Linked DNA regions of Oryzias latipes. The protein of the gene in region 1 interacts with the protein of each later gene in a pairwise test. Links are inferred from orthologs where the notes say so. Each region holds a gene or a part of one and is shown in the gene's direction. Other genes may lie near its edges.

What was found.
Region 2: the proteins of asna1 (region 1) and gpx7 interact in binary tests that used the Homo sapiens proteins (3 or more experiments, as listed by UniProt). The two-hybrid records come from large-scale screens. The link is inferred for Oryzias latipes from reciprocal best matches to the Homo sapiens genes GET3 and GPX7.
Region 3: the proteins of asna1 (region 1) and aspartyl/asparaginyl beta-hydroxylase interact in binary tests that used the Homo sapiens proteins (3 or more experiments, as listed by UniProt). The two-hybrid records come from large-scale screens. The link is inferred for Oryzias latipes from reciprocal best matches to the Homo sapiens genes GET3 and ASPH.

What each region holds. Positions count from the first base shown.
Region 1 is NC_019859.2:35,305,838-35,308,588, forward strand, and holds the end of asna1 (ATPase ASNA1), read left to right. Parts: intron 1-1,075; coding exon 1,076-1,273; intron 1,274-1,356; coding exon 1,357-1,485; 3' UTR 1,486-2,147; downstream 2,148-2,751.
Region 2 is NC_019862.2:22,280,195-22,284,641, forward strand, and holds the start of gpx7 (glutathione peroxidase 7), read left to right. Parts: upstream 1-1,530; 5' UTR 1,531-1,643; intron 1,644-1,716; exon of another isoform or gene 1,717-1,814; 5' UTR 1,815-1,855; coding exon 1,856-1,987; intron 1,988-2,133; exon of another isoform or gene 2,134-2,248; intron 2,249-3,981; coding exon 3,982-4,243; intron 4,244-4,447. UniProt on the Homo sapiens protein: It protects esophageal epithelia from hydrogen peroxide-induced oxidative stress. It suppresses acidic bile acid-induced reactive oxygen species (ROS) and protects against oxidative DNA damage and double-strand breaks.
Region 3 is NC_019878.2:3,471,778-3,476,200, reverse strand, and holds the start of aspartyl/asparaginyl beta-hydroxylase, read left to right. Parts: upstream 1-1,530; 5' UTR 1,531-1,679; intron 1,680-1,808; 5' UTR 1,809-1,851; coding exon 1,852-2,005; intron 2,006-2,076; coding exon 2,077-2,142; intron 2,143-4,423.

The sequences.
Region 1 (2,751 bases):
GATTACTTCTTTTCTATTTTGTTTGTTACTTTTTCTGTTAAAGTCACTTCCCTCAGTTTATACTGGATCATCGCGGATTAACCATTAGTTGGGAAATAAAATGATAAAAGCAAAATAACGAATAGCAGTTATATAAGAACGAAAAATGTAAACACCCCCCCCCCCCCCCCCCCCCCCCCCCCCCCCCGACGATGTCATCGTCTATCCCGATGGTTGACAGCAAACACCGTCAACAGCCAAATTAGGGGACATCGCCCAACCCTAGTGCCCTTTGTTTAGTCACGAGGCGTTAAACGTCGGCGAAAAACGCCGGCAAAATTCGTCCCGGTGTGAACGGGCCTTTAATGTGGAGAAACAATTCTCAGATGAATACAATAGCAGACGTAACCCGTGCATCATTTCCTTACATTAACCCCCCCCCCCCAAACATACTGAACATAGAATAGGTCAGTTCAAAGGCAATCATTTTAGTTTAATGTTAGTCATTTCCACTCCGGAAACTTCAAAGTTTAAAAACAAACAGCAACCATCCCGTAAAGCGATCGCTGTGCTTTGGTATGACGGAGCTTAGATCTCGGCAGCGTTAAATCCCAGGTCTCTGGCGCGGCAAACCATCCTGCGAGGAGAACACAGAGCACGCCTAACGCCGTGGGCGTGGCGTCTCCTCCGTGGATCCGCACCGGGTCGGGTTTTGCTTTTGCGGTCAAAGCGACCAGCGTCCGAAAATGTCGGAGGGCTCACTCCAAGCAAGTCCCCCTGTGGGGGGCCTCCGTCACCACCCCCTTATTTAGTCTTTTAATGAAGTCCCCCCATTGTTTAGCTTTTTTCTTTTAAAGAGTAATGTACATGGTGTTCTGTTGTTGGGGTTTGGTTCTGACGACCAGGCGGTCGTCAGAACCAAACCCCAACAACAGAACTCGACTCTGGTGTTCCGTCGTTGGAGTTTGGTTCTGACGACCGCCTGGTCGTCAGAACCAAATTTTATAACGGCTGTGACCAGAGTCGAGTTCTGTTGTTGGGGTTTGGTTCTGACGACCAGGTCTGGTTCTGACGAATGTCTCCCTGCTCTCTTCAGGAACAGACCACCTTCATCTGCGTGTGCATCGCCGAGTTCCTCTCCCTCTACGAGACGGAGCGGCTCATCCAGGAGCTGGCCAAGTGTCGCATCGACACGCACAACATCATCGTGAACCAGCTGGTGTTCCCCGACGCCGAGAAGCCCTGCAAGATGTGTGAAGCGCGCCACAAAATTCAGTCCAAGTACTTGGATCAGGTACGAAGCGTCCCGGCGTCTGCCGTGAAACGGCGTGAGGTGGGATCCGCGCGCTCATTTCTGCCCCGTGTTCTTCCTCACAGATGGAGGACCTTTATGAGGATTTCCACATAGTCAAGTTGCCTCTTCTGCCCCACGAAGTGCGAGGAGCTGACAAAGTTAACACCTTCTCCAAGCAACTTCTGGAACCCTACAAGCCTCCAAACAAGTGATCCTCCCCGCAGACGCCTCCTCCACCCTGACGCCTCCTTCCAGCCGCCCTCAGATCCTCACGAAGCCTCAGCGCAATCCGCTCCGTCCCCCCCCCGCAGGGAGGGGACCCCACCCGCAGCACTGCGACGGCGCCGCCCATCCCGTCCTCCGGTCTTCATCGGTCTCGGTGTGTTTCCACATCTGATCAACAAGCCCCGCCCCCTCTGCTGTGCACTTGTTGGTGATTCCAGTGAACGTGTTTTTTTATTTCCAAATAAAACTGTTTTTTGACCTCTCCATATTCTGAGCAGACGCGTCTGCGCAGATCAGAAAGCAGGTCTCTCCGGCCGCCGTGGCAGCAGACGTGTCCCCGCCTCTCTGCGCTCGTGGCGTTAAAGCCGGCGCTCACCAGTGACATTTGGAATGAAGCTAAACGGCGGGCGTCTTACCCATACGGGGATGGTTTCCACTCAACATCCCTGCATTGATTGTCCTTCAGCAAAGTGCTCAGCCACGGGACCGTGACACCTGAGAACACAGAAATGTGCAGGTAGAACGCAGGTCAACTCCTCCTCTGAAACTCCCCTCTTCGTCAACGAAGGCTTCTGAGTCGGCGAGAATCTTTTTCTATAGGTTTTCTTTAAGTGAAACTGGCAGTGAGAATTAAACGCAGTTGCCTCAACTGGCAGTCTCCTGTTTATTCCTTAAGCCAGTGGTGGGGGGGGCTGGAGACTGACCCGCATGCAGATTGTCTCTGATGGAGCATGAAGCCCGTCAACCTGCACCAACACCCCCCGCTGAGAAAAGGGGATTCCTTCGCCGTCGTCCTGCCTGAAGCCGTCAGAGGAAGGACTGAAGGGTTCATTTACTTCACCCCAGTGTTGTCAGGTAAACCGTTACAGCCAGTGGGAAATCCACCGGTGGGTAGGAGGGGGGGTTGCAGCTCCATGCAATCATAATCTACCTTAAAGTATTAATGTACAGTAGCATTTCATTGACAGAAGTAAGTATTTGATCCCCTGGTAACCATTCAGAGTCCTGGGTCACACAGACCCGTTAGACTCTCCTTATCAACCGTCTGTCCCCTGTTTGAACTGATCACCTGTAGAAAAGACACCTGTCCACAGAATCAGTCCATCAGACTAGAGAGCTTTCAGTGGATTTAAAGGAGAAGATTGTAGACCTGCACCAGACCAGACTGGACTACAAAGAAGCAGGAGGTTACCATGACAACCGTTGGTGCAGCATCACCATCAATCCTCCTGTAGGTCTGCGGCTCCAAACCA
Region 2 (4,447 bases), on another chromosome or scaffold:
ACCAATGAACACAGTTCAGTGCAAATGTTTCTCATATCATAACTTAAGATCTATTGCCAGTAAATTGTATTTCATCTAAGTTTTTTTTAATTCAAAATAAGTTATGCTAGACATAAAAACTAACTAAATTGAGAGAAAATTACATTATGACAGATAACCGTTCTTATCTTATCTCAAGGTTCAAGAGTGACACATAAAACAAAGTAAACGAAAGCACTACACTGCAATCCCTCATCGTGAGCGTGAAACGAAACCTAATTTTCCGGACTCCGGAAACGTAACTAGATCAGATGCACCCAAGCATCTGATGCGTTCACGTTCACCTGCTCTCACGATGTTAATCGATCCCTGATTCTCAACAGCAGTCCCACGTCGGTTTTGGGGTGCAGGCAGGAGCACAACACCGAGCCTGGTCGTTAGCTAAACTTTAAAAACAGAGCGGTTAACTAACTGTGAGACTAGTTTAGAAAGTGCCAGCACCCATGTAAACAAAATAAACAGCCTTATTTGAAACCCAGGAACGCCAGTGTTTATTTTTTAAATCGTTAACGTTCAGTTCCCGGCGGATTCTGACGTCCCAGAGTTCGTTTTTAAGCTAGCTAGCCGGTGGATGAGGCTCGAGCTAGCTACAAAAACACATCAAAGATCGGGTACATCGCTGCCGCACGGCAATTAAAAACAAAAAAACAAAAACGAAGGGACGTGGTCGGACGCTACCCCACTCATAAGCAAGCACAGACTCACTTTGAAGTGTGAGGTGGGTTCCGGATTATGGTTTAAATCTCTCCATGGTGAGGCTCCGCGTCATGTTGTTCAAATCCCACGGCCCTGGTCAAAACAGCGACCACTGACGCCATGTTAATACATTTCGCCCGCTGCATTGTGGGAGTGCCAGTGATGATGGTGAAGAGGGCGTATTGTGTACTGCGTTCAAGTCTGCACGGAAATTCCACCATTAATATAAGGTGGTTCTTTTACTTTCACCCATCCACATTAGCTATCTAGCTGAAGAAAAATGAAAGCATGGTAATCGTTAAAGGTAATTGTTACTTAGTTAGCATTGATTTAACCCTACTTAACTACTCAACTAAGACAAAATCATTGAAAACATGTTTTACTTTTCCTGCTGCTTATTGCTTTGGGGAAATAAACACAATCTTTGTTTTTACAAAAATGCTTTTTAATCTGCTGGACTGTATGGTTGTACAGGCTGTTAAAGGGTTGATTTTAGATTATTCAAGTTTATATAGGCCTACTTACGGTCTGTGTTGTTGTTGTTTTTTTTTGTTTAAACCTATCTTTTAAAGGGAAAATTCAAGTTTTTCTAAATGTCCACGAATGGTATTGGTTTGAATTTTTCCATTTTTCAACCTGTCATGCAAAGAATACATATATTTTTATTTATCTCTATTTCTTTGTTTTATTATTATTATTATTATTATTATTATTATTATTATTATTATTATTATTATTATTATTATTATTATTATTATTATTATTATTATTCATTGGAAGGAAACGCAGTCATTGGAGTGTTTAGGAACTGCAATAGTTTTATTTTTACAACCTTTTCCCGGAAGTCACGTGCCACAGCGTGTAGCTTGATGGTGACAGAAGTTTTCCACAGACCTGGCAGTTTTAAAGTAAGTAATAAGGAATAATTTTTTTGTTTAATATTCTTTTTTCTTTTTTAAAATTGTTGATACTACTATTTTTTAAAGGAAACGTAGTCATTGGGATGTTTACGAATTGCATTCATTTTATTTTTCCAACCTTCCTCCGGAAGTCACGTGCCACAACTTTTACCTTGACAGTGACAGAAGTTTGCAGCTGAGCTGGCAGTTCGGCAGAAAAGATGCTCCGCTCAGCGCTCGCCGTTTTTGTAACACTATTCAGTCTCTCTGAAAGCAAACAAAAGGACTTTTACACCTTCAAAGTTGTGAACAGCAGAGGGAAGCTCGTGTCTCTAGAAAAATACCGGGGTTCGGTGAGTCCAAATGAAATAAACAAAACTAACAGAACCTCTTCCTGCGCCGAACCTGGATGGAATATATTTTGCGGGACCTTTCCGCTCCTTTTGCATGCCGGCATGAGCGCATCTTTTAAGAGAGTGCTTTAACTTTCTGTCTGCAGATGGGACTAACACTTGTCTGAATGCTGTGGGGCGCTCGGGCTCCTCTCGGTAGTCTACGTGGCAGGAGGCCTGCAGCTGTAGGAGCTCTGCAGCTCCCATGAACTACTAGTGAAGGTACCACGATCCAAGCTGTCCACAAACGCAACATTTCACTGATGCATTAAAATGCACACGAAAAATTAAAGCCCTATTATTACAATATTGTTTTCGCAATTCTTTCTATCTGCATTTTTGGATGAACGTCCTCAAAAGTGATGACATCACAGGCGGGCGAAACCAAAATGAATTAGAATGAGAAGATTAAAAGTCAAAGCAGAAAGTTACACAAAATATTAAGTTATTCAAGTCACAACAAGAGCTCAACAGTTTGTACTTTGGTTTCAATGAAAGCATCGTATCTGATGCTTTGTTTTGTTTATTTTGGGAGGACTATAGATTTTTATTTTAAACATTATGATTTGTTTATGTTTAAATAAACGAGAGGAACACACTGCACCCTTTAAAGCATGAATGAAGCTCTTGCATGTGCTGATCTGCACTAACACTTGTGTTTGGGACCTGCAGCCTATAGATTTTATTGATTCCTTTTGCATTATGACTAACAGTTTCACGTGATGTATCACGTGATGTAATAAAGGAGAGAGAAAAGATTTTTTTTTGCCTTTATTATTAAATGTTTCCCGTTTAGTTTTAAACTGCTATCAGAAGAAAGCGTGCAGTAGATCAAAGATCATATAGACTTTGATTTATAATATAATAATAATGGATTGGATTTATCTGCGCTTTTCAAGACACCCAAAGCGCTAGTGTGTCCATTATTCATTCACTCCTCATTCATACTTGGTGATGGTAAGCTACTGTTGTAGCCACAGCTGGCCTGGGGCAGACTGACGGAGGCGTGGCTGCCAGTTCGCGCCTACGGCCCCTCTGACCATCACCGGGATCATTCATGCGCATTCACACACCAGTGGAGCCACACTGGAGGCAAGGAGGGTGAAGTGTCTTGCCCAAGCACACAACGGCATTTTGGCTGGTGGGAGCGGGGATCGAACCGCCAACCCTTCGATCATTGGACGACCCGCTCAACCACCTCAGCCACTGTCGCCCGATTTGACTGAACGAGAGAAGATAATTTATTCTTTCATTTCTATTTATTGTTTTTATTCAGAACCAAGAAAATTGGTAAATTCATCGACCTCTCATGGGGGGGGACATAATTGCTAAAAACTTATTGAACCTTTTTCATACTATAAAAGTTATTCTTTATAGTATAACCCAATCATTTAAAATAAACATTGAAATAAAAAGAAAATAATACACATATCTTTCTAAAATTAATATAAAGACCCACTCCGATCATCTTTTGATCTCTTATAAAAGTGTTTCCAGTGGTCTTTTAATTATGATTATGCTGTTTTTAGCCAAAATAAAAACATATAAACATTTGCTTACTCTCTCTCACTCCCCCAACCTAAAATTAGCGGTGCAACAAAAATGGCGAGCAATATTAGAGCTATCCAGTTGTATGGTTTTGAGCAAGACGCCTGCTCAGACGAGGAAAATGAAGATGTTCTTGGATCTATTTGTCTCCAAGTGGATGCATCAGAATGGAGCGGAGCACGGAGCTCAAAACAAATACGATCTTTTTTTTCAACAGCATGTTTTTGTCTGCTCCTGGTTCAGAATGTTGAAGTACTTAGAAATGTAGTTTTGAGCAGAATTTTTGTCCTCCATCCTCAGAAAATGCCACAACACCAAAAACATACTTCATCAGAGTGAATCTATGAAAGCAAATTTGGGGAAATGTTTTTTGCCGGCTTGTTGTCACTGTATTTGTGTTTCTTCAGGTGTCGCTGGTGGTGAACGTAGCCAGTGAATGTGGCTTCACCGAAGAACATTACAAAGACCTGCAGCAGCTCCAGCGGGACTTTGGCTCAAGTCACTTCAATGTTCTGGGTTTCCCCTGCAACCAGTTCGGGCAGCAGGAGCCGGGCAGCGACAAGGAAATCGACAGCTTTGTGCGCAGAGTCTATGGAGTCTCCTTCCCGCTGTTCAGCAAAATCGCTGTAGTTGGAACAGGAGCCCATAATGTCTACAAGTATCTTGCTGGTAAGATCTTTGATCCCCCAAAAGAGCTGCAAATGTCTACTGCTCACAAAGATAACCCCCTTTAATCTGTGCAGAATTGAATCTGTTAACTCAGGAGATGTCAGCGGGGAGACCTAAATAACAAACAATCTTTGACATACCATACTTTGACATACATACTTTGACCGCTAAAGCGATCAACGTGAATCATCGGATTCTGAGGAA
Region 3 (4,423 bases), on another chromosome or scaffold:
TTCGCTGGCAGAACCAGAGACGGTGTTTGGGTCAGAGTTGCTAAGACCGGGAAGCTCGCATCAGGAAGTTTACGAGGAAATGGCGCAGAGAAAGAACGCAAAGAGCCACTCCAGAAAAGGTCAGTAACCTTAGCTGCTGGTGTTTGTCTGCACATCTGAACTGTTTTTGCAGACACGCTGAAGCTCATCTGGATCAGAACACAGGCTGCCTTCAGGGTCTGGGTTCTGATCCAGATTTAGAGCTCCAGCAACGGTGATGATGATGCTGCCTTCACGGTCCCTGCGTCATCATCAAACCAATATAACGGTTAAATGATGAAGTCTGTGTGTTTAGTCCAGGCCGAAAGACGCTTTTCTGTGCGATGACTAAATGTGGTCATGGGGCGTCGGTGCTCCAGAACCGAACGGTACCGTACCGGATCGGATTGGAACTGGTCTGACGCGGTCCTGTTCGGGTTATTTTGCCTGAAGATGTGTCAGAGCCTCATTCTGAACCAGACGGACCCATGTGGGAGTACAGATGCTCTTAAACCCGCCTCTTCACTCCTTCATTTAACCGAGCTAAGCTAACTTAGCCTCCTCCTCCTCCTCCTGCTCTCGTAAAAGAAATTCAACTTTTTAAAAATGTTTGCAGAGTTTCTGCTTGTTTTCATCCCGGTGTTCAGTGATATTTCCCTGCATATACATGTTTAAGCCCCGGTTCACCAGAACGCTTTCTGGAAGTGACCTTAAGTGAAACGTTTGGCGTTTTCCTAATGATCGGGGGGCGGGGCTATGTTATCATTTTTGATATGACGTCACAGTAAAGCGGGGGGCCTCCTGGTGGCCTGACAGGTGTGACACTTTGTTCAGAGAGTTGTCTCATCAGGTCTTACCCTGTTAGAGCTTTTCTTTTTGCAGAGGCTGTGGTGTAGTGTTTGACACTGGTTTCACAACAGAAAGGTGCAGGTTTGAATCCCAGCTTAGTGTGGTGTTTGCGTGTTCTCCTCATGCAGGTGTGGGGTTTCTCCAACATACCAAAAACACGCTGCATAGGTTAATCGGTGGGTCTGAATTGGGCTTGTAGGTGTGAACGTGCATGGGCGTGAGTGTGCAGCCATGCCAGGTTAGATCACCAAGTAACCCGTTGGGGCTTCACCCATTCTCCATTCTCTCCGTTTCAACCTTTGAACAGAAACCAGCAGACCTAAAACAGGTTCTAAGACAGCTTTGGTTTGGTAAAGCATCACTGTGGAACCTTCAGATACACTCCAGACTGTCCTTCTAACCCCAACAGCAGAGCAGCAGCTCCTCCTTGTCCTGTCCTGCATTCGGAGGTCATCTTTTGGGCCTGCTCCTCTCAGCGTGTGTTCTTCCGGTAGCAGGAGGTGGATGGTTTGTTTTTGGGTTTTTTTTCTAACGTGGTCTGGATAAAGCAGCCTCAAAACCAGTTTGATCTTGGTTCAGTGAGAAGACGAGTGTCAAGGTTACTTGTTGGTGTGTTTGTCCTCTCTGGCATCCGCTCCACTCACAGGGCCTCACAGGGTTTTGTCGGCTCTAATAATAGTGTGGATCAGGTTCTGGCTTTTCAGGAGCCTCACAATCTTTGTGGCTTTGGAAGAGGGAGGAGCTGGCTTTCTCCTGCTGGAGTCTGGATACTTTTGTTCTGCTTTTCTTCTCATTTTCTGCCACTGATACGGGTCAGTGTTTGGCTTCACTTTGTGGCGTTTGTTCTTTTTCATGTTTTTGTTTGTCCTCAATCCGTCCCTCCTCCTGTTACTCCTCCTGATTCTCTCCTCTGAAACAAAACTCCTCATTTGTTCCTGAAGCTGCTGTGTTGTATCCGGGGTTCTCTGAAGCAGCAGAAAGTCCATGCAGCGATTCCGCCACTATGAGAATTCCTACTCCTCCTCCCCACCTCCTGCTGCTCCTGTAGAGGAGATTCACACTGAGCAGCTGCAGGAGGAGGAGGAGGAGGAGTACACTGAGGAGGAAGAGGAAATGCAACCTTTGATACAGGAGTCAGGTAGGTCTGAGAAGAAGCTTCTACTGTGGTTCTTTGAGGTTTCCATCAAAGCTGCCATGATGCTCCTTCAGGAGGCGTCACCGAGGAGGAGGTCTTGAAGGAACAGGAGGCTGAGGTCCAGGAGTCGGGTAGGGAAGGTCAATAAAAGCTGCTGAGGCATGGATTGTTCTGGACAAACAGTGTGAGAAATGCATCATGGGTGCTCCCTCCTGCATCTCTGAATGTGTTCCGCTTGACCTTTGAAGTTCTGCATGTTACAACCACTGACCTCAGAGGCCCCTCCCCCTGGCGTTCCAAACAGGAAGTGGCTCCAAGAAGCCGAAATCCCATAGACGTCTACAGAGAAATAAACAGCTGTTACTCAGTCATTCTTCTGGTCAGAAGAACCTTTCTAGATCTGATACTTTTTTCTTCTTGATAATCCTTTTTTTTTTTTCATTATACTTTTTCGTAGCGCAAGTTATGCAAGTTCTGAACCGACTAATCTGATTCATCAATAAAAGTAGGTTGTCTTGTGTCCAAAGCTCAAAACGTTTGACAGATTCTCCCGAGCCCGCTCTCACGTGGTAGGGGTGTGGCCTTCCAAAAGGCTCTCTCCTGATTGGTGAAAGGGGTTGCCATGGAAGCAATGACTCAAACCAATCACTGCTTACTGACGTCTGGCTCCAACATTGCGGTGTCCGTATTGAGAAAAAATGGCGACTGAAATGACTATTTGGTTGGAGCCTGAATTTTTATTTTCTATGGATGATGTCACACTGACTGGATCAAGTTGGCATATCCAGTCAATGGTTATAACCCAAACAAACTGCTTCCTGTCGTGGATTTTCACAGTCGAAGCCTCTAATGAACGTCTGGTTTGAAGCAGACGGGTGAAGTTCTGCTCCACTGCACCAACTCTTTGATTTGTTCTGGTTATGATGAGAGATTTTCACTTCAAGTGTTGCTGAGGATTGTTTGGTTTTAGTCGGATGCGAGCTTTTTAAACCTACAATAAATTAAATAAAATGATGGTGAGCTTGAGAAACATAAACATGGTTTTAGTTTGAATCCCATCAGTGTTGAGATTAAAATTGTGTTTCTGAGTATTTCATTATTCAAATTGTGCTGAATAAGGAGCAGACAAAAAACACAGTTTGAAAAAGCTTGGTTGTTACCTAGAAACTACAATCAGCAGGTCACAGGCTTCCTGCTCCGCTCCATTCTGATCTAATGAACTCCTGTTCTCTGCAGAAACTATGTCCCAGAAAAAAACAAAAGTTTTTTGATTTGGGCTAAAAACAACATAATCATTACTAAAAGACCACTGGGAACACTTTGAAAATAGATCAAAGTAGGACCTTAATGAGGATCGATGTGAACTTCCGTCCCACTCGTGTCATTTATTCTGAAATCTGTTTCTCTGCTGCTCCTGCATGGTCAGGATGCTGATCACCGGCTGTTCTTTAGTTACGCAGCATCGCATTATTTATATTGGTACCAACTGTTGGAGCCAAGGCGCCTGGTTTCCGTCACGTCTGTCCAAACATCTGTCCGCTCTGAGCAGGTCCATGTCAGGACAAACATCAAACTGCACAGAAGACCTCCTTTCTGCAGAAGAGCTCAGCTCCACCCGCTTCTGATGCCACCACCACCCAACGGAGAGCCCTTAAAGGGCCATTCCAAAAGCAGACGGATGATTCATTTGTCCTGCAGCAGCTGCTGTTTCTCTCTTTGACTGCACCCTATTTTGGGGGGCATCCTGCATCAACAAAGCAACCTCTCCCTCCTTCACCTTTCACCCTTCTTTAGAGTCCACTCACACCAGTCGATCTGCACCGATCCATGCAACCTGTCCTTGTCCATTATCAAAGTGCAAGAGTTTGATTAAACATGGGACCAAGGTCAGAGGTCAGATCGGGTTGCTGTGATTCCTGCTAAAGATGACACAAAGACAAAACCAAACTAAATGTGTCACTGCGCTCTTCTCTGTTTGCAATTCCTCACATCAGCAGCAAAACTTCATTTCTTGTGTCAACTCAAACCTGAAGATCCCAAATATCTGCTGCGGTTTTTCATTAAAGCAGTGTGTCAGATAAAACTGACCCTACAGACAATTTTGACTGTGTGGTTGCATTCTATGGGAGCGATTCTGAAGCATAAATAAAAAGCAAAGTCAAAACCCGAAATGCTTTTTCATTTTCAAAATGAAGCTGCATTTTTTGACTCAAAATTAAAATAAAAAAGCAATCCGTCAATATGCTTTTTCATTTCCTTCCTCAACACTGCTTATTCTGTCACTTAATTCTCTGGTAAATGTGTAGCATAATTCATTTAGAAATGTCTAATTTGACAATTAAAGTGGATTAATAGAAATGCTTTTTCATTTTCAAAATGAAGCTGCATTTTTTGACTCAAAATTAAAATAAAAAAGCAATC